2 linked regions of the Alligator mississippiensis genome follow. The protein of the gene in region 2 purifies or fractionates together with the protein of the main gene of each other region. This does not show direct contact. Links are inferred from orthologs where the notes say so. Each region holds a gene or a part of one and is shown on either strand. Other genes may lie near its edges.

The links. The genes of interacting proteins can lie anywhere in the genome.
Region 1: the proteins of NPM1 (region 2) and RPS28 purify together in Homo sapiens (affinity purification with mass spectrometry; 3 studies listed by BioGRID and IntAct, with this or other methods). This does not show direct contact. The link is inferred for Alligator mississippiensis from reciprocal best matches to the Homo sapiens genes NPM1 and RPS28.

What each region holds. Positions count from the first base shown.
Region 1 is NC_081839.1:9,769,924-9,780,045, forward strand, and holds RPS28 (small ribosomal subunit protein eS28), read left to right. Parts: upstream 1-5,486; 5' UTR 5,487-5,549; coding exon 5,550-5,588; intron 5,589-5,665; coding exon 5,666-5,713; intron 5,714-6,994; coding exon 6,995-7,117; 3' UTR 7,118-7,125; intron 7,126-9,126; 3' UTR 9,127-9,263; downstream 9,264-10,122. Other genes in the region: NDUFA7 (NADH dehydrogenase [ubiquinone] 1 alpha subcomplex subunit 7), read right to left, coding at 994-1,060, 1,420-1,569, 5,228-5,277, 5,364-5,414. UniProt on the Homo sapiens protein: Component of the small ribosomal subunit. The ribosome is a large ribonucleoprotein complex responsible for the synthesis of proteins in the cell. Part of the small subunit (SSU) processome, first precursor of the small eukaryotic ribosomal subunit.
Region 2 is NC_081832.1:47,797,074-47,806,852, forward strand, and holds the start of NPM1 (nucleophosmin), read right to left. Parts: upstream 4,194-9,779; 5' UTR 4,134-4,193; coding exon 4,070-4,133; intron 3,591-4,069; coding exon 3,511-3,590; intron 85-3,510; coding exon 1-84. UniProt on the Homo sapiens protein: Involved in diverse cellular processes such as ribosome biogenesis, centrosome duplication, protein chaperoning, histone assembly, cell proliferation, and regulation of tumor suppressors p53/TP53 and ARF.

The DNA.
Region 1 (10,122 bases), on a different chromosome or scaffold from region 2:
TATACTAACTATTCAAAGTTCTTCACTTCCTGTTAGAATAATTATTCAATTAGAATTGCCCATTTCTAACGTGATATTTGAGCTGGAGTTTATTTCTAGTAATTTGGACAAATGTCTCTTTGGCTGGAGATGCTTGGAAATTGCTACAGTCTCAATAGCCAACATCTGTGATCAGGAATTTGAAGTTATAATCCCCATCCCGGCTATGGCACCACTTACAAAACCATGCCCTGTAGCAGCAATGGAGAGTACTCCTTTAGTAATAACTCACATGGAAGTATCATCAATTCTACTCTGTACAACAACTGTGTATTGGAGTCTCTCTCCAGGAGCTGCTAGGTTTGTGAGCTCTTCAGATCTCTAGCCAAAGTTGTGTACCTTAGAGCACTGATTCTCAACCAGGGTGCTGAAGCACTGCAGGGTGCCATGAGATCTTTTTGAGGGTGCCACAGGGTGCCATGCAATATTAGAACTGCTAGGTGTGCAAAAACAACACAAGATTCACAAAATAAATCCAGAGATTTCAAATAGGAATCCAGTATCAAAACCATTCTGACCTGTTGTGGTATTTGAGTTCTTTGCAACAGAAGAATTGCTTTATTATTTCTCCATAGTCAAGAAAACAAATGAAAGCTAAGAGATGGGATTTTCCAAGGGGTGCCCCACTGATGTGGAGCTTAGAAAGTTAGACCCTCTTTTTTTTCTTTTTAACGGAAAATGAGGGGGGTGGGGAAAATAATCATTCCCAAAACTCATTTAGGTGGAAAGAGTTCTCTAAAATAACAAAAGTAGACATTACAGATAAATATTTATTTACCAGACACCAACAAAACTCTCTCAGACAGGTAAGTTCTCAATAATATTACCAAAGCTAACTTTGCTCACTTTTCAGGCAGACTGTTTCTTTTAAATCAATCCTGAGAAGTACCGTCATATTGAGACTTCTCTTCGTACTTGTTTAGTTTACAGATAAGATTCATCCGTTGACAATTCTCACTTCTTCAGTGGAACTCCTGGTGTCACTGCCTTTTTCTCGGTTGTTGCTACTGCAGAGTCCGAGCTGGGAAGGAGGAGAGACTAGGCTTCAGGAATCATTAACTCTTTTGGATATTAGCTGTTTTGGAGGTGTTTTCACTGCAGAGTTAAGGCAGATCCCATTGCTGTCCTCCCATTCGCACATATAACTCGCTCAGAGCTACTGATAAGGCAGAGGTTTTAAGGAATCCAGCTCCAGCCCTAATCATGCTGATTTCTCAAGAGAAGATGCACAGAGGCATTTATTCAGCATTCTATTACTAGCACCTGTGTGCTTCCTTGTAGTACTCCACACTAATTTTCAACCAAGTTTGACACTGCTTAGCTAGCAAAGTCACAGCCAGATCTTGTATGGTCGTAGGTCATAAGATAAATAGGACCTACCTGCCAGCTTGAGCACCTGATGCAAGGATTTTCTGTGGTGACATAACAACAATTGGAGGATAGGTCTCTCTGCGTCCATCCCGGGTACAGTAGTAGTTATCTGCAAATTTGTGACTGGGACCCAAGGGAAGTTGAGGTGGTGGCTGAGTTCTAAGAAGACAGTTTAAAAAACTTCAAAGCATACAAGATATTAAGCAAAAAACAGATTCTTACTATTACTGCATCACTACTAATACTCAGAACTAGAAACCTGACTTTAGAGCACCTTTTAATGAAACTAAAGGCTCACAGAGCACAGCGAGATATTCTGGACTTCTGAAATACAGAGGGGCTCTCAGCACCCATGCTCCAAGGTCTATGGAGTGTGTTAAAAAGATTCAGTATTGCTCAGCTGCAAATTAGTAAAAAAGGATATGTAGAGAGAGCTCGTGGCCTGGCACTGGGCTACACTAACACACCCACAGGAAGAACTAGGATGCTCTAAAGAGACAGAGTTTCTGGTTGTAACTGTGTTGGTCTAAGGACATAGACAGGCAAGGTTCTTTGGGTAGATGTGATTCCTTGTATTAGACCAGCTGAGTAGTTGGAAAAAGTTCTTAGCAAGCTTTTGGGCGCAGTCACCCATCTTCAGGCACAGGAAGTCTCTGCTGTTCTGAGACTCCAATGAGAGAAAAGTGTGGCCGGATTGTCAGTGATAATGTAAATAGGTAGAAAATCGAAAGACAAAAGGTGAAGCAGAGGGTGGGGAAGAGAGCAGGGGGAAAAACGCTAAGGGGAGACATTACAGTGATAGAATACAAGGTAGAAAAGAGGCTAATCAGTTAAAAAGAAAATAGTTGGAGATCAGGAAAACAGGAATGAGACAAACTACAAGTGTGAGAGGATGTAGTGAAAATATAAATAGGGAAGAAGGAGAAACAAGGTAAAGTGGGGGGGAGAGGAGGCAGGGGAAAAACAGGCCAAATGGAAACATTACAGTGGTATTAATACAAGATTCACAGATTGTAAGGCTGGAAGGGACCTCAGATCATTGGGTCCAGCCCCCTGCACCAGGCAGGAAAAGTGACAGGTGGGGTCAGGTGACCCCAGCAAGGTGACTGTTGAGTCTCCTCTTGAAGATATCCAGGGTAGGTGATTGCATGACCTCTAGAGGGAGTTTATTCCAGTCTGGACAGCCTGACTGTGAAGAAGCATTTCACAATCTTGAGCCTGAAATGGTCTTCCAGGAGTTTGTGGCCATTACTCCTGGTTCTCCCCAAGGGCGCCCTGGTGAACAGCTGTTCATTGAGCCCCTGATGTACTCCCCTGACGTAGCATTACACTGCTACCAAGTCCCCTCTCAGCCTTCTCTTTTTCAGGCTGAAGAGTCCCAGGTCCCTCAGCCTTTTTGCGTTCGGCTTGCTGTGCAAGACTCTAATCATACAGGTGGCCCTTCTCTTGACTCTCAAGTTTTACCACGTCCTTGTTCTGCGCCCAGAACTGGATGCAGTACTGCTGCTGCGGTCTCACTGGTGCCGAGTACAGTGGAAGAATCACCTCATTGGTCTTGCTGGAGATTCATCAATCGATGCATGCCAGAGTATTATCTGTCCTGCTGACAACAGAGTTGCACTGCCGCACATTCATACTGTGGTCACTTATAACCCCCAGGTCTCTTTCATCTGTGGTGTTGGTCAGATTGGTGTTTCCAAGCCTGCAGGTGTGCGAGGGATTGTTCGTCCCCTGGTGGAGCACTTTACGTTTCTCAAGGTTGAACTTCATTTAGTTCTGACTTGCCTAACCTGCCAGCCTCTTTAGTTTCATAGTTGGTAGGGTTGGAAGGGACCTGAGCAGATCATCACGTCCGACCCCCTGCCATGGCAGGAAAGAGTACTGGGGTCAAATGACCCCGGTAAGATGTTCATCTAGCCTTCTCTTAAAGACCCCCAGGGTAGGAGCGAGCACCACTTCTCTTGGAAGTTGGTTCCAGGTCCTAGCCGCCCTGACAGTGAAGTAGTGCCTCCTGATGTCTAGTCTGAATCTACCCTCTGCTAGCTTGTGACCATTATTTCTAGTCATGACCATTATTTCTAGTCACTCCTGGTAGTGCTCGGGGGAACAGGGACTCCCTCAACTCCTGCTGGTTACCTCTGACTAGTTTCTAAACGGCCACTAGATCCCCCGTCAGCCTTCTCTTGTGGAGGCTGAACAGGTTCAGGTCCTGTAGCCTCTCTTCATAGGGTCTGCCCTGCTGACCCCTGATCATGCGGGTGGCCCTCCTCTGGACCCTCTCCATGCTGTCCACATCCCTCCTGAAGTGCAGAGCCCAGAACTGGATGCAGTACTCCAACTGTGGCCTGACCAGCATTGCATAGAGGGGGAGGATCACCTCCTTGGACCTGTTTGAGATGCATCTGTGGACGCATGACAAGGAACGGTTGGCCTTCCTGACCGTGTCGCCACACTGTCAGCCCATGTTCATTTTGGCATCAATAATGACTCCAAGATCCTTTCCTGCCTCTGCACTGACGAGAAGGGATTTCCCCAGCCTGTAGGTATGCTGCTGGTTCCCCCCCCCCCCGTGCAGCACCTTGCACTTGTCAGTGTTGAAACCCATCCTGTTCTCGTCCGCCCACCCCTCCCTGTAGCCTGTCTAAGTCCGATTGCAGTCTATTCCTCCCTTCTAGCGTGCCCACTTCCCCCACATCTTAGTGTCATCTGCAAATTTGAACAGGGTGCTTTTTACCCCCTCGTCCAAGTCGCTGAGGAAGATATTGAATAGTGCAGACCTGAGGACCGAGCCCTGGGGGACTCCACTGCCCACATCCCTCCAGGTTGAATAGGACCCATCCACCACCACTCTGGGTGCAGCCCTCCAGCCAGTTAGCGACCCATTTGACTGTGTAGGTGTCGACGCCACAGTCCCCTAGTTTTTAATGAGAATGGGGTGAGAGACAGTGTCAAAGGCCTTCCTAAAGTCCAGAAAGACTACGTCCACTGCTACCCGTGTCTAAGGATTGTGTGACCTGGTCGTAGAAGGCCACCAGGTTGGTCTGACAGGACCTGCCTCGAATGAACCCACTGGCCCTCTTCCAGTCCTCAGGGACCTCTCCGGAGCACCACGAGTTTTGGGACAGTTTCACCAGGCGACGACTTGGGCCAGCTCCTTCCGCACCCGCAGACGGAGTTCATCCGGTCCTGCTCACTTATATATGTCTACTTTTTTTAATTGATCACACATCAGTTCTTCGGCAACAGTAAGAAGGCGGCCACGTCTACCCTGCTCATTCTGTACCCTATCTAGCATGATTTTCCCTGGGGCTTGTTGAAACACAGAGGCAAAGCTATCATTCAGGAGTTCAGTTTTCTCCTGGGTACCGGTACCTAGCTGTCTTGAGTTGCTGCGCAGCGGCCCCACACTCCCATTTGCTCTCTTGTTCCCTGCATACCTAACGTCCCCATGTACCTACCCAATGTCTCCCTTTAGCTGGTTTTCCCTCCTGCTCTCTTCCCCCTCCCCGTCCCCTGTCTGCGTCACCTCTTGTCTTGCTAATTTCCACCAATTTACATCCTCCCTGACATCCTGCCAAGACCTCAGCATCTCTCCTCCCTTGGAGATCTCAGACCAGCAGAGACTCCCGTGCCTGACAGGGCAGCTGCACCCCAAAGCTGGACAAGACCTTGCTACTCAGCTGGGCTGACAAGACATCACATCCGCCCAGAAAACCCGAGACGGGGCTGTCTCGGCTCCGCCCGCGGGCGCTGGGGGTGGCGGCGGGCGGAAGACACCGCCGGCTGCCCCGGCCCGGCCCGGCCCGGCGGGACGCACCTCCTGGAGATCTCCGTGTAGCGGAGGTTGAGCTTGGTCTGCAGGTCCCGCTGCAAAGCAAGGGGACAGCGTCTCAGGCGGGGCCGCGCCCAGACCCCCCCACCCCGGGCCGCCGCCGCTGCCCCGCCCCGCTCACCCCCAACAGCCAGTTGCGGATCCAGCGGATGATGGGGGTGGCGGACACCATCTTGGGCGCGGTGCAGGCTGGGAAGCAGGAGGCCGGCGCGGTGCAGGGCGAGAGGCGCGCGGTGCATGCCGGGCCCGGCCTATATAAGCGCGCGCGGGGAGCGCCCGCCCTCTCCCAATTGCTGCCGCCGCCATCATGGATACGAGTCGCGTGCAGCCCATCAAGCTCGCCCGGGTGCGGGGCCGGCGGGTGCGGGGCCGGGGCGGCCGGGGGGGGGGCACTCACTCACTGACGCGTGTGTGTGTCCGCAGGTGACCAAGGTGCTGGGCCGGACCGGCTCGCAGGGCCAGTGCACGCAGGTGAGCGCCGGGGGTGCCGGCCCGGCGGGGGGAGCAGGGCGGCGGGCGGGCGGGCGGGGGCCTCCGGCCTCCCCGCGCCGCAGGAGCCGCCGCAAGCCCGCCCCGCGCTCGGGGTTTCCCTTCAGGCAGAGCCGCTTTCGGGAAATGCACTTGAATCCCGGCGGCCGGGCTTTTGTTTGAATCGTTATGGCTGGGCCTGAGCGCTGCGTCGTCTCTGCGTGGTTGAGGGACCTCCTTCCTCCGTTCCTGACCTCCTTTCTCTGGAGGGATCCATTGTTTTATTTTACTTTGACTTCCCCGTTCCTTACTTTTTAAGGGGAGGCGCTGAGACTTGACGGCTGGCATTGGGGGCGCACCGACGGGCTTTCTCGGCCAATACCGATAGCCGACGATGATTACCCAGCCACGGCAACTAATGCACTATTTCTAAATATTGGTTATTGGATCAGCAAGACATCTTAAATTTCTGACATAAGCCTCTTATCGTTGGTTTTGTGTTTATAATACACACGCGCACGCCTCCTCTGCTCCAGCCCTCGGCGAGGAAGGCAGTGACCCCTTGCTCCCACGCACGCACGCCGCTGCCTTGCTCGCTCGCTCGCGGCTCCTACGCGCAGCCGCGCTCCCCGCGGTGCTGGTGTCCCTGGCGAGCAGGGCAACCCTCGCGTGGACAGCGGTGCTGGGTGTGTTTGGAGCCCCAGAGCACACGGCTGCCTCGCCACAGCCAGCGGGCCCTGCACAGCCCAGCTGCCACGGCCACCAGGGAGAAGCCACTTTCGCACAGCACCTGGTGCCCAGAGAAGCGAAGTGTCCCTTGCATGGTGCCTTACCCCACCTGTGTGCAATCCAACCCATCTGTGGCCACCCCAGCGCTCGGGCCCCTGCTGTGTGCACAGCAGGACCCAGGAACCGTCCCTTTGGTCACTTTGTTGCTGAGCGTGGGGCTCTGTGACTACTCCCTGACACCCTTCCCCCTCCCACTGCTTGCTGCGGTGGCCTCTGGCGGATGGTGGGGCACAGGGACAGGAGTACACTCATCGGGATGCTCCTGGCCTGCGGCCGTAAATATCAGCTATAATGACCAAAAAAGCCAATAGCCGCTAACATCACTTCTTTTATTGGTGTCGACCCGATAGCCAACCATTGTATCAGTGCACCTCTAGTTGCCATGAATAGCGGGTTTGTTAGGAGTAGGATGTAGTGATCTGGAGCAGCAGTTTCAGAGGGTGAGTGGTATGGTGAAGTACACTTGTTTAGACTTTTCTGTTGGGTCACTGGTAGGTTCGTGTTGAATTTATGGATGACACCAGCCGATCCATTATCCGGAACGTGAAAGGACCCGTCCGCGAGGGGGATGTCCTAACGCTGCTGGAATCCGAACGTGAAGCAAGGAGGTTGCGTTGATCAGCATGGTAACTCATTTATTTCACTTTCAGGTTTTAAAGAGATCTTTTTGCATGATCTTCATTTGAGCCTCTTAAGCACAGAGCTGGGGTATCTGCCTGGACTGTAGAGCAGTGATTCTTAACCAGGGTGCTGTGACATCTTGGGGTGCCATGAGATCCTTTAAAGCAGTGGTTCTCGACCTTTTTTGTACCAGGATCCATTTGTCAATATTGATGGCCAGTCCCAACCCATTGTGTGGGGCATGGTGGGGTGTATGGGGGGGGGGCCCTGAGCATCCCCTTGCAGGTTGAAACACCTGACAGTCTGCAAGGGAAAAGCCAGGGTTTCCCATACTTTTCTTTAAGGGAGAATCCATTTTTTTTTTTTAAGTTCATATATTCGGATGACCCACTTTATTGGATCGCGTCCCATAGGCTGAGGTCCCTAAACACACTGCTTTAAAGGATGCCTCAAGGTGTGAGGACATGAGCAGATAAGCATAGGCTCAGGCTTGTCCCTGTGTGGATCATCCCCTCCTCTTACTGCCTCGTCCTTTCTGCAAGGAAATAAGCACTGTAGCGCATACATTTTAGTTTCTGAAATTGTGCCACCACTCAGTTCACGAAAGTCCAGGGAGGGCTTCCTTGAGACCCGCTGATTTAGAGTGATCTGTGGTTATGTGAGACCCTGACTGAAGGTTAGGGATCTTAACTCTGAATCTGAGTCTTATATGGAAAAACAAGTATAGAATGTAAGGTTTGACATTTAGGCCTTGGCAACTTGGATGAGTGTTCAGCATAGAATTATTTTTGGTAAACTAGCTATTCCTGCATCAGAAAATAAGATTTTAATATTGCCATGACTTTTTCCATGGGCTGACCTACATTACAAATATTTCCTGTTTGGGCTTAGTAGCAAAGAATTAAATTAGCAGTCATGAGAATGACCACGACTCTTTTTCAGAGTATACCAAGTGAAAAGTTTTGGTTTAGTTTGGAAAAGTTTAGCATCTGACTGTCTTAACTGCTGTTTAGACACAGTAATATTGTCTAGTGAGTGAATTTGATGTTTGCCTCTGCATGGCTGAGCACAGTGGTTTAGTTTTGTTTTACACACTTTGCCTAGAGATGCTCTGCAGTCTTTCACTGCTATTTTCAAGGCAAGAGTTTGGGAAACAAAACACAGGTTTTGATTTCAAATCCAATCGTGTCAAGCATTCAGTCCAAGCTGAAATTCAGGTCCAAAGCCATAGTAATTTACATAGTATACAGATGTCTTTGGACTGACTCTTCTAGAAATAACCTTATCTATGTAAAATAGTCTAGTCTTGGGAGGCAGGCCCTGGCCTCTGCTGGTGAGGTGGGGGCCAGTGGGTGGAAGCTGTCCTGCCTACCCAGGGTCTGTGGGACCAAGCTCTATTTCCCCAGTGCTGCCAGGTACACTGGGTGGAAGCAGCACTGCCTCCCTGACCACCCAGCACTGAATGGTGTCCAGCTGGGACCTGCCTCATGGTGCCAGATTGGAGATGGGGCTGCTTCTGCCCAGTGTCCTCCACAGTACCTGGCAGATGCAGTCCAGCCCTGCAGACCCTGGACTCCTGTTGCTGCTCATGTGCCAGCTCTGCTGCGGAAAGTGAGTGCGTGTGGCCCTCAACAACTTGCCAAAACTCATGAAGTGGCCCTCCAGCCCAAATAATTGCCTACCCCTGGGTTAGGCAGTTAGTACTTCTGAAAATGGCTCAGAATATTTCCATTGATAAAGTGCAGCTCATCTTTAGTTGTATATGTGGTCCTGAAGTTTGAGGCTCCACTAGAAACCTATGATGATTATAGGCAAACAGGTAAGGTGCTAATTCCTACTAGTTACACTGCATAAGCTGCAGTATCACCAATAATATTTTCAAGCTCTCTCTCACTGGGTAGGAGTAAAATGACATGCTTTAGTTGCTTTTCTAGTATTTTATTGCCTTGGAAATGGTTTCCTGATGCATATATGAGATTAACTAAAATATGCATGATTTATTTCAGATGACTAATCCTGGTGCATCTACCTTTCATTCTACACGGCTGTAATGAAGTAGCAGTGAACATCTGTGCTGCCAGACGTGCATGAAGAGGGGCATTGCATTTCAGTGACTAAAATAAAGGATTTTTTTTTTCCAGTACCACATTGCCTTTTTCATGTAAGATAAGATGTGTGTACTTCTGCTGGCTTCATTGGCCAGAATAATTCCAGGGAGAAAGCACTGAGCTATTAAGTTCCTTACTTTGATTTAAAAGTTGTTAAAACTGCTTGTAACTGAAGGATTTTGTATCGTTCTGCAAGCAAGTGCATGCCTGTACTTCAGAGAGCTGAAAAGTATTTGGTACATCTTAGGTCCTGGAGAGACAAATGAGAACGTACAAGAACAACCACTTGGTGGATCATATTGTAGGTCTGTCATACCCAGGATCCTGTCTCATAGACACTGGTAGAATGACAAGGGTGTGACCCTTCCCACTTGCAGCCTCCAGCATTTAGGGTCTAGGAAGTTCTGATTCAGAAGCTGTACCCCTAACTCCTGTGTTCAATGGCTACTGATGCACCTTTCCTCTAAGAATTTGTCTGATCCCTTTTTGAATCTGGAAAAAATGGCCCACTCCTAATGTGCATCAATTTTTTTTGTATTACAATGTATATTGCACTGCAATTGGGAATGGAGAGATGAATGGCTAGCCTAGGATTGCTTGCATACTATGTATATGTTGCTCTGTCCTACTGGGGAGTGGGGAGCATTTGCCTCTTGCAGCTGGCTACTTTGGGATGGATATGAATAGAAGGAACTTTATTGTACTGTACAATATCCTTCATATTGGCAGACTTCTGTATAACTTGTCCATAATTTTGTCTGAGCCTCATTCCTATACTACCCCTGAAGGTAATTATGCTTGTATAAACATTTCCTTTCCCCATGGACTGTAGTGTTATCTTGAGCACAAGGTAGTGAAGCCAGGGCCCATAACTGATGTGTGAAAGTCCTATGC
Region 2 (9,779 bases):
CGCTTTAATAGGGTTCCCCTCGTAGTCCAATGCCTCTGCTTCTATGACATGCAATTCATCTTTGGCACCAGCCCCCAAACTAACCTATGCAAAGAATGAAACATATTGTACATTATTAGAACTATCCCTAACTTGCAAAACTTGAGCATTAACTTGTAAATGTATACGAAGCCCAAAGTGGGATTTTTTGTCTCAAGACTAGAGGGTTTCTCACGGATGTTCTTCCTCTATTTTTGCAGGAAAGCTACTGGTAACTAAACTATCAGCATCACAATGAAGCTGAAACAAGCTAATCTTCAATAAGGAAATGATTATTACACTAAACTTTTTAATGCTGCAAGATTTATTCAACAAGGCCTAAACTTATTAAATAGCTGTTTTATTCAACCTATTCTGCAAAACCTAGAATTAAATCCAGTAAACAACTTGGGTACCTGGTTCCTACACTGGAACCTAGTGATCAGAACTATGCACTCGTGCTCCCTATGTAACAATAAAATGTCAGTGCTGCAGAATGGCCCTACAGGCTCAGCAAGCTGCTTAAAGGAAGCCTCAGTATCAGCCTTAGAAAACATGCAACAGGTGCAACTGAGGGCAACTTATTCTTCAAACAGCATTGTAGACACTCTTCTGTAGTTTAGGCATCGGCTGAGCTGGGAGTTACTGAACCCCCAATGTTGAGTGTGGTAGCAGATGACTGAACAAGGAGCAATGGTTTCAAGTTACAGCAAGGGAAGTTTAGGTTAGATATTAAGGAAACTCTCACAAGGAGGGTAGTAAAGCACTGAAACGGGTCACCCAGAGGTTGCGCAATCTCCAACCTTAGAGATTTTTGAGACCCAGCTAGACAAAGGCCTTGGCTGGGATGATAATTGGTCCTGCTTTGAGCAGGGAGTTGAAGTAGCTGACTTCTTGAGGTCCCTCCTAATCTTAATTTTCTATGATTCTAAGCCATTCTCAAACACCATACTGAAACACCGCTGGATCTAGAGTGACTATGATCAAGCTAATCTCATTGATCAGGGGTGTCCAACCCTTTTGAGTGTGGGGCCAGAACATGAACTTTTTATCAGCCAGTGGGCCAGCAGAAGCAGATGCTTGTGTGGCCCGTCCAGTCCAGCCATGGCCTGGGGGCGCTGCCTGACCCCATGTCCTCCCTGCCACCTGGGCAGCCTCAAGGATGCTCCCATACCACGTGCCCGGGCTCAGCAGCCAGGAAAACATGCGGGGACTCTACGGGGACATGCAGGGACACCCCCCTGCTCCCTCTCCCCTGGGGCAGCCCAAGCCCAACCAGCAGGGCTCCCTCCCTCCCCCGGGCCTGCAACTCACGACCCCCAGCGCAATGCCTGCGGGCGCAGGGGGATGTGGGAGCCGTGCCAGCTTTCCGCCCGAACAGCCACAGCAGCAGTGGCAGCAGCATCTCCTGCGGACCCGGCCACAGCATCCCTCCAAGCCGGCATCCGCGCCCCGTGAAGCCGCCTCCTGCACAGCAACCTGCTCCAGCCCGCGCAGCCAGCGGGGACCAGCACAGGGCAGGGCTGGCATGCAAATGAGGAAGGGAGGGGAGGGGCTAGGAAGGGACACCGTGAAATGAGGGGGATGGGGAAGAGCCACACCACATCAGCAACGTCTAGCTGAAGTGGGGCATGTGGGAACCCAGTCCCTTCCCCAGCCCGTCAGTAGCCATTAGGAAGCTGCTGAGAGGCTGGGCGAGGGACAAGGGGTAGAAACAAAAGTAAACAGTGTTTACTTTCATTTCCTGTCGAAGCACCTCTGGCTTCAGAAAATGGCTTGGCGGGCTGCATGGCAGCCCACAGGCCATATGTTGGACAAACCTGTCATAGATCAAGTAAATTTGTTGGGAGATGGATGCTATTTTAGGAACAAGGATATACATAATGCAGATAGTTACAAAAAAGCAAGCAGAAGCTAGATACCAGAGGAAAACTATCCTGCCTTTACCTGTATGTAACAGTACCTGCATGGATGTGTTGACAAATGAAAACACATGCATTTCACCTCATTTGCTCTCTAGAGTAGATCTGTGTATTTCAGCTGGTGGAACAGCTAGCCAGTACCAGACAAGATCTGTATCCAGGGATACTTGGCACATGGCTTCACTTGTATCCGTTACAAGATCTAATTAAAGCTATTATTTGTTTTCTGGATGACCAAGCTGTATACATTTTACGTGGGGGTATTGTAGATAGATGTGCGCATTAAACACAACAACTATATATGTAATGCAAGTCACTAGAGGTACATCAGGGGGGCTGGGCTACACCGTGCATGGGAGGAGGCTGCAGCCACCCCAAATTTCACCATAGCCCTCCCCAATGCCCATCAGTTACTGGTACTGGCCCCCAAAATCAATATCAGTGCACCCCCACAAGTTACATATAACATGCAATACAGAGAACCTCCATTTTCCTGTTGAGAGCTGAAAAGCAAACTGGTAGCCACGAACTGATAACTGTAAATTTTGAATAAGCTATTTGACTGACCTATGTAAACCCAGGAACAACATGAAGGACCTAAAAAGCCTTTTTTGCCACTTTGTTTATTCATTGGACTCAGAAACTTTTATTACAAAGCCAGCAAAATATCTGTTGGCACATTACCCAGCCACTTTTAAACACCATTTTCCCCCACCACCTGCATCCCCTACACCAATCTAGATCCTCTGGCACAAATTGACCTTTTACTCTAGCAAATATAGAACTTTTACTAGCTTGCAACTTGCTCCCTTTTCTTCCTTTTTAATGTCAACCTTCCCTTCTGATATTTTTCTGAATATAGAAAAAAGTGACAGACCCGAATGATGGTCACTTGTTAAATGCATTAACTTTTTTCTCTAGGACCTCTCTCCTTGCCACTGGATGACTGCTACAAGTTTTCTACTTGCCTCTCTCTCTCACCATTCATTTCCCAGCCACCTGAGGTACTTATTTCTTTGCTTTTTTACCGTTTTAGCCATGTCCCCATCAACACTTATCTATTCACTGCAATCCAAATTCCAGTTTTCTAAGTAGACAGGAAGTGACCTGCCCTATCCCTCTTTCTTCATCTTCTATGCTAAAAAATTTCAGGTGCAGGAGTGGGCATTAAAGGGCACCTGATGCCCAAGCTTACACAACAGCTCTCCCAAATGTATATTTGGGTCCAGAAAAAAGCATCACAGAAAAGCCTTACTCCTACAGCTCTTGCACCATCGTGGCTATAACAGTGTTCCCATTTCAGTATTTCCCCGATTTCCAACAACCATCCACTGAAATGAGGCCACTGACCCCAAAAAGCCCCAATGAAGACCTAATTCTGGGCAACCAACTGGGGCAAACCCAAGCTTGTGAAGCAGCCAGTGCAAACTTGTTCACATCTGGGCACCCATCAGCAAAGTCCAGCAACAAGCTATGGAGAATTGTTGCTGGCTTCAAGAACTGGGCTGTGGTCCCCAGATCCTGCAGCAAAAACCCTCCCCTCAGGCCCTCCCGCCCAGCCCAGCCCTACCGTCCTCAGCGACAGCTGGTGTTCGTTCTCTTCGTCGTTCACTTTGAAGTGGAAGTCCTTGTCCGCCTTCAGCTCGCAGCCTGGGGGTAGGAGAGAAGAAGACGTCACAAGCTCGTCTGGGACCACGAGCTCACCCCTTCCCCGCGCGGGGCTCGAGACCCGGCCCGGCCCGGCCCAGCCCAGCGGCGCCGCCTCTGCAGGCCACGCGCTTCGCGGGGCTTTCCCGCGCCAAAGAACCGCCCGCAGCCGCGGTAGCACCACGGCCCCCGTCCCCGGAGCCTGCGGCGATGCCAGCCCCGCCTGCCGCCGCCACGTGCGCTCGGGCAGGAGCCGCCGCCCTCGCGGCACAAAGCGCGGCCGGGCCCGGCAGGGGCTGCAGGCCCCGGCGCCGCCACGTGCTCGCGGCCGCCACGTGCGGGGGGGAGGGGGCGGCGCCTGCCGCACGAGCCCGCCGCGCCCGCCCCGCCCCCGGCCCAGCCGCGCGGATGCAGCCGCCGCCGGGCCCGACCGCGCGGGAAGCAGCCGCAGGGCCCATCGGCCCGGCCCGCCCGCGCGTTACCGAAGAGGAAGGTCTGCGGGCGCAGCGGGCCCATGCTCTCCACGTCCATGGCGCTGTCCTCCATCTTTTCGGCGGCGGCAACGGCGGCGGCGCTGCGCCCCGGACGGAATCGCACTGAGGGGGGAAGCTTGCGCGCCGCCCCGCACTTATAGCCCGGAGGTCTCGCGAGAGCGGCGCCGGGCCCCGCCCCCGCGCGACCCTCGGCGCAGGCGCCTGGCACTTCCTGCCCCCTGTCCTCCCGCCGCCAGGCCCCCGCCGGTGGCTACGTGCATCAGCCCCGCGCTCGGGCGGCCCCGGGGCGTCCGCGCGGCCTCTCCCGGGGCGGGGGCTCCCGGGACTAAGCCCGGCCTGCGTCTACGTCGCGGCCACCGGAACCCGAGACACAGGGAGCCCCGTAGAAAGGCAGCGCAGGGCGCACGTGCCGCAGCTGCCTTCCAGCTGCCCTTTTTTTTTTTAATTATTCTGAGACGATTCTCACGGCGCCACGCTCGGCCCCACCCACACCGCTGCGAGAGAAAATCGGTCTGGCACCCTGGCTTGTGCCCTGGGAGAAGAGGGGGGTTAGGACATGGGTAGGTAAGCCCCAGCACGACGCACACAGCCACGCTGCTCGGCCCACGCACCTGGGGCACAGGCAGGGGAGCTGCGAGGGCCCCGGCCCCTTGCCCACCCTCTGCCTCAAGGCCTCGAGCACCCGCTGCCAGCAACAAGCTGGGCCGGGGCTCTGCAGACCCCAGCACATCTGCTTGCAGCTTGTCCACTGCCTGCTGCAAGCAGCCCCGTGGCAGAGGCCTGCCCAGAGCCTGGGACTAGCTTGGCAGGCAGCCGGGAGGCTGCACACAGCTGCACTGGCATCCAGAGAGACCTGGCCCAGTCTGCACATGCAGTTTGGGGCAGACAGCAGGGAAGATGTCAGGGCTGAGCTGCCACAACAAAGATTGGGCCCGCTGCAGCTCCCCGGCTGTCCATCCCTGCTTGCCAACATCTTACAGGTTGCTGGTGTCTTTGGCACTCTGCCCAAAAATGTTGCCAACCTCTAGTTTAGGAGATGATGTTAAAAGGCAGAGGGGGGTTACGAAAAGGATACATGGGGATGAGTGATAGGGAAGGAGCAAGCTTTTGGAAGTCATAGGCCAGAGGGAGTAGTACCTGAGGGGACATTGGAGTAGGGAGTGTTGTAACACTAGTACCTGGTAGCCACATGGGACTTCTGGCCCTAAGATAAAATACTTTCCCAGTCTCCCCTACATATTATCTACAGGGCTGTCCATGGGGAGTGGTTAGCCCCACTCATTTCAGCACACAGCAGAGTGAGAGGAGGCTGGCACTTGAAGGGGTCTGCACCCTTTGCTCTATATGAACCAGCATTTGGATAAATCATGCTACTCTGGTGTGGTTCAGGTCTCATCCATGCCTCCCCAGTGAGCCGACATCTGAAAAACACTTCTGAGGAGGAAGCTGAAAGCATGAGGAAGACAAACATTTTTGCTAAACTTAGGTTCTGAAGCACTCACTGGAGGGAGATGGGTGAAAACACCCACTGAGATGAATGGAGCACTTCACACATTTCACAACTGTTGTTTCAACCTGTATTCATATGCATGGATTTAGTCAGTACAGAACATCCCTTTTTGTGAAGTGGCCCATTTAGCTCAATGCGAGCATCTCTGCTCTGTATGCAAGTTCTGCTCAAGTGTCAACTCAGCCCACTCTTATTTGCTACTACTTGGAGATTTTGCCTGCCTTAAAGGCATAGTTTCTCAGCCTGTGGTACATGTACCTCTGGGGATACACAAGGCACAGGCAGGGGGTACACAGGCACCAAAACCCCTGTAGTAAGGGGGCGCCACCACTCCCTCCGCTGCCACTGGGTTCGCGTCCAGCTGCTTGCTGCCCCCACCTCCCCAAGCCGGCCACAGGCACACACATACCCACGCACTCCCCACTGACTCAGCCACAGGCAGGTAAGTTTCTTTATCCTGTCTGGGCTTGGGGGGGGGGCAAACCCACACAATGCAGGGGGGAGTACAGTAGGGGCAAGGCACTTCCCCACTCTCCTGCACTGTGGGAACTGCCCCATGACCTGGCCTGCCTGGGGCCCAGTTCACTCTGCGCAGGAGGGAGCAGGCTGCCACTGTAGGCTGGGGCTAGTGGCGGCACCGGGCTCTTCCCGGCACTCAGGGCGGGCTGCGGTGATGGGGTGGCAGCAGCCCCCCTCCCAAAATTCACTGTAGCCCTCCCCAAACTGCCCTCCAGTGTCATCACTGAACACCGGGAAAGCCTAGTGCCACCATCGACTTCAGCCTGTAGCCAGCCTGGGCTCGGCAGCTGCAGCAAGCAGCTGCACCGGGCTCTGCACCTCAGAGCAGACAGCAGGGGAGGGTTGCACTGCCTCAGACCCTATCCCCAAGTCTCTGTTCTGAGGCACACACACAGTCACTGGAATGGAGCAGATGCCAGGGCTGCAGAGCCCGGTGCAGCTGTTTGCAGCCTGCCCACTGCGGCTGCCCAGAGCCCAGGCTGGCTACAGGCAGGGGTCAGGGGTGGCACTGAGCTTTTCTCTGCGCTGCCTCAGGGCCCCCCCACCGGCTGCTCTGCTCCAAGGCACACAATGGTGAAGCCCAGAGCAGCTCTTTGCAGCCTCCTGGCTGCAGCCAGCCCAGGCTCAGGGTAGCTGCTGCCAGCCACAGAGCCCAGGGTGCTTGCAACAGGACTTGCAGCCTCCCAGCTGCCTGTTTGGAACAGCCTGGGCTCCATGGCTGGCAGCAGCTGCCTCCTTGTCAGTCTCTCACCCTCTTTTCCTCTCAGAAGTATGGCAAAAAATTTGGTGTGCCGCACATTGTGTGGCGCTTTAAATTCCCTAGTAATAATTTGGTGTGTCGCACTTTGCGTGGCACTGGGCTCAGCCCTCCTAGCTTTGGCCAACATCACCTCTAGCCCAGGTACATACTTAAGTTGTGCAACCCTGGTGTAAAAGGTGGCAACCCTACCCACACCAGATCAGACATCTGTCATATCACAGCCCTTCTTCCAACATATGGCACACATTAGTCTGTAAATATAAAATCCCCTGGAAAATTGAGTGTTGGAATACTTATTTAAGAACTTTCAGAAGTTAAGGGGTAGTTGCTACTCAAAAGGTTGAGAAACACTGCCTTAAGGAACTGAAAGTTAGCCTACTCCACAGAAAGAACACTACATCTGTTAAGATTTACCCTAATGTACATAAACCCACTTAGCCTAACGTGCATAATGCTACCCAACATTATACTCTCGCTTTTCTGTCATTAAATCGTACTCCTACCTAACTTCTGATGATCACCTGGACAAAACAAACTTGTGCCTTTTTACCAACACAACCTGCACAGTGCAATGCTGGAGTGAGGTATACTGGAACTTTCAGAAAGCCTTCTGGATACTTGACTACTAAACAAATCCCCCCCCAGCTCTTATCTAGTCTAAACAATCCTAGTTTTTTCAGCCTTTTCTCATAAGTCATGTTTTTCAGGCCTCTAATAATTTTTGTTGCTCTCTGCTGGACTTTCCAATCTGTCCACTTCTGTCTTGGAAGTGTGGGACCAAGAACTGGACACAATATGCCAGATGAAGCCTCACCAGTGCTGAATGTAGTGGAACAATCTCTTCCCTGAATTTGCAAGAAACACTCCTGTCAATACAACCCAGTATATTGTTGGCTTTTTTGCAGAGAGATCACATTCATTCACAATTTACGGTTTATTGCAACTCCCACCCCCAAGGTCCTTCTCCCATATATTCCCCAAGTCCATATTTGTTCATGTAATTATTCCACCACACATGCAAGACTTTAAATTGAATTTTGTTTAATTAATCATGGACCACTTCTATTTATCCTGATCATTCTGAACCCTAGCTCTACCATCCAGTGCATCTGCAGCTCCACCCAACTTGGTTTCATCTGCAAAATTTGCTAAACTTGCACTCAGTCCCATTCTCCAAATTGAGAATTTCCTTTTTATTGCTTTTTACATTCCTTGCCTGTTGCATCTCATTAATATATTTCCCTAAAAAGGTAGCATCCTGGGAATAGGAGGTACTCATCTTCCCCTCTGGCTTCTTGGTTCCACAAGTGAGATTTAAGAAAAAGTACAAGAAGTGTAATTTAATCTCCCCACTCCTTTCTTACCAGTTTTGATCAACAGTAAAATAACTGACAACAGCCACATTTGCATGACATTTCATCATTGGCATCCACATTAACACCCTGCCAAGATGAATGAATATAGGTTGTTCACAACTCTTAGAACTAAGTTTTTTAAGCTCACATAGCTACATCACAAAATCTAAACCAGATATTAATCTAAGGGCTAATCTAAACCAAAAGGTACCACCAGGGTAGCTACCTTGGCAGTCATCATAGCAAAACTCCTGAGCTGAGACACAACTTATGCTGACAGAAGGTATTCTGTCACCACCATTAAAATATCCCTTTTGTTGTTTATGGTGTTACCAACAAAAAGATTTTTTTGACACTGCATGTTCGGTCTTTCTAAGGCAGGTGGGGAAGGGGTGTTGCCAGTATAGCCAAGGCCTAGTCTATACAATACTGTTCAGTCACCAGAACTCTGGTGGGAAACTTTGAAGGCTTCTCTGCCAACAGAATTACATCACCTTTGCCCTGTGAAAGAAGGATTCTGCCATCACTGAGAAGCTGGCAGAAGGTAAATGTAGACACTCCTGCACCTACTACTGGCTTTGGTAGTCCCTTCAGCAGTCAGTACCTTTCCAGGCTGCACTCTATCCTGCTGATATATTTGCTGCTGTGGAACCCTCCCAAGCACTGGGATGCACATATGCTCTGGCAGCTAGGTGATAACAGCTGCTGTCTAGTGCCAGAATTTCTGGTAGCACAGCAAGGTAAATATAAAGAAAGTCCATGTGAGAAAGTGAGAAACCCAATCACACTCCCACCCAACAAAACTACTAGCAAAACTTTGTACTATAAAGCTGGGCTGTTATCTTCAGATTGATCTACATTTAAGTTCCCCTATCACTGCAGCTGTTTTGCTTAGGCATGTAATAAGCCAAACACTTAGTGAGAGCCCTTGCATAGATGCAACTAGACTAGTATAGAAAGGTGCTTAATACCAATCTAACTGACTTTGGATCCATAAGTATTACAGTGAGTCATTATAATGGTAATTTATTAATCACTGTTCATTTCAAGTAAAGAATACAGATATAACTATATACTGGAACAACTACATCCATTTTACCTAGTTTCATAATTAACTTAGCCAAACTTTTTAGTGTAAACAAAAGGTTTACATTACAGAGGGCCAAGCCCTTTTCCTGTTAGATTTGATTCCGGAGTTCAAAATAGCCATTAAAAAAAATACCAGCAACAAACAGCTCAATTTACACCTATGGAAGATCTCTCAGGATTTTATTCACCCCATTTCCTTATCATGAGACAAGAGGTAGCAAATATTTTTTGCAATGCTTTACTAACACTTAAATGTTGTCAGACTAAGGCCTTGCCTACAACTGTGTCTACATTTAAGGCCTTGCCTACAACATAAAGCATCTCAGAATCATGTAAAATTAGGGTCAGAAAGGACGTCAAGTGGTCATCTAGTCCAACACTCTGCTCAAAGCAGGATGATTCCCAACTGTCATCCCAGTCAAGGCTTTGTCTACCTGAGTCTAAAAAACCTCCAAGAAAGATTCC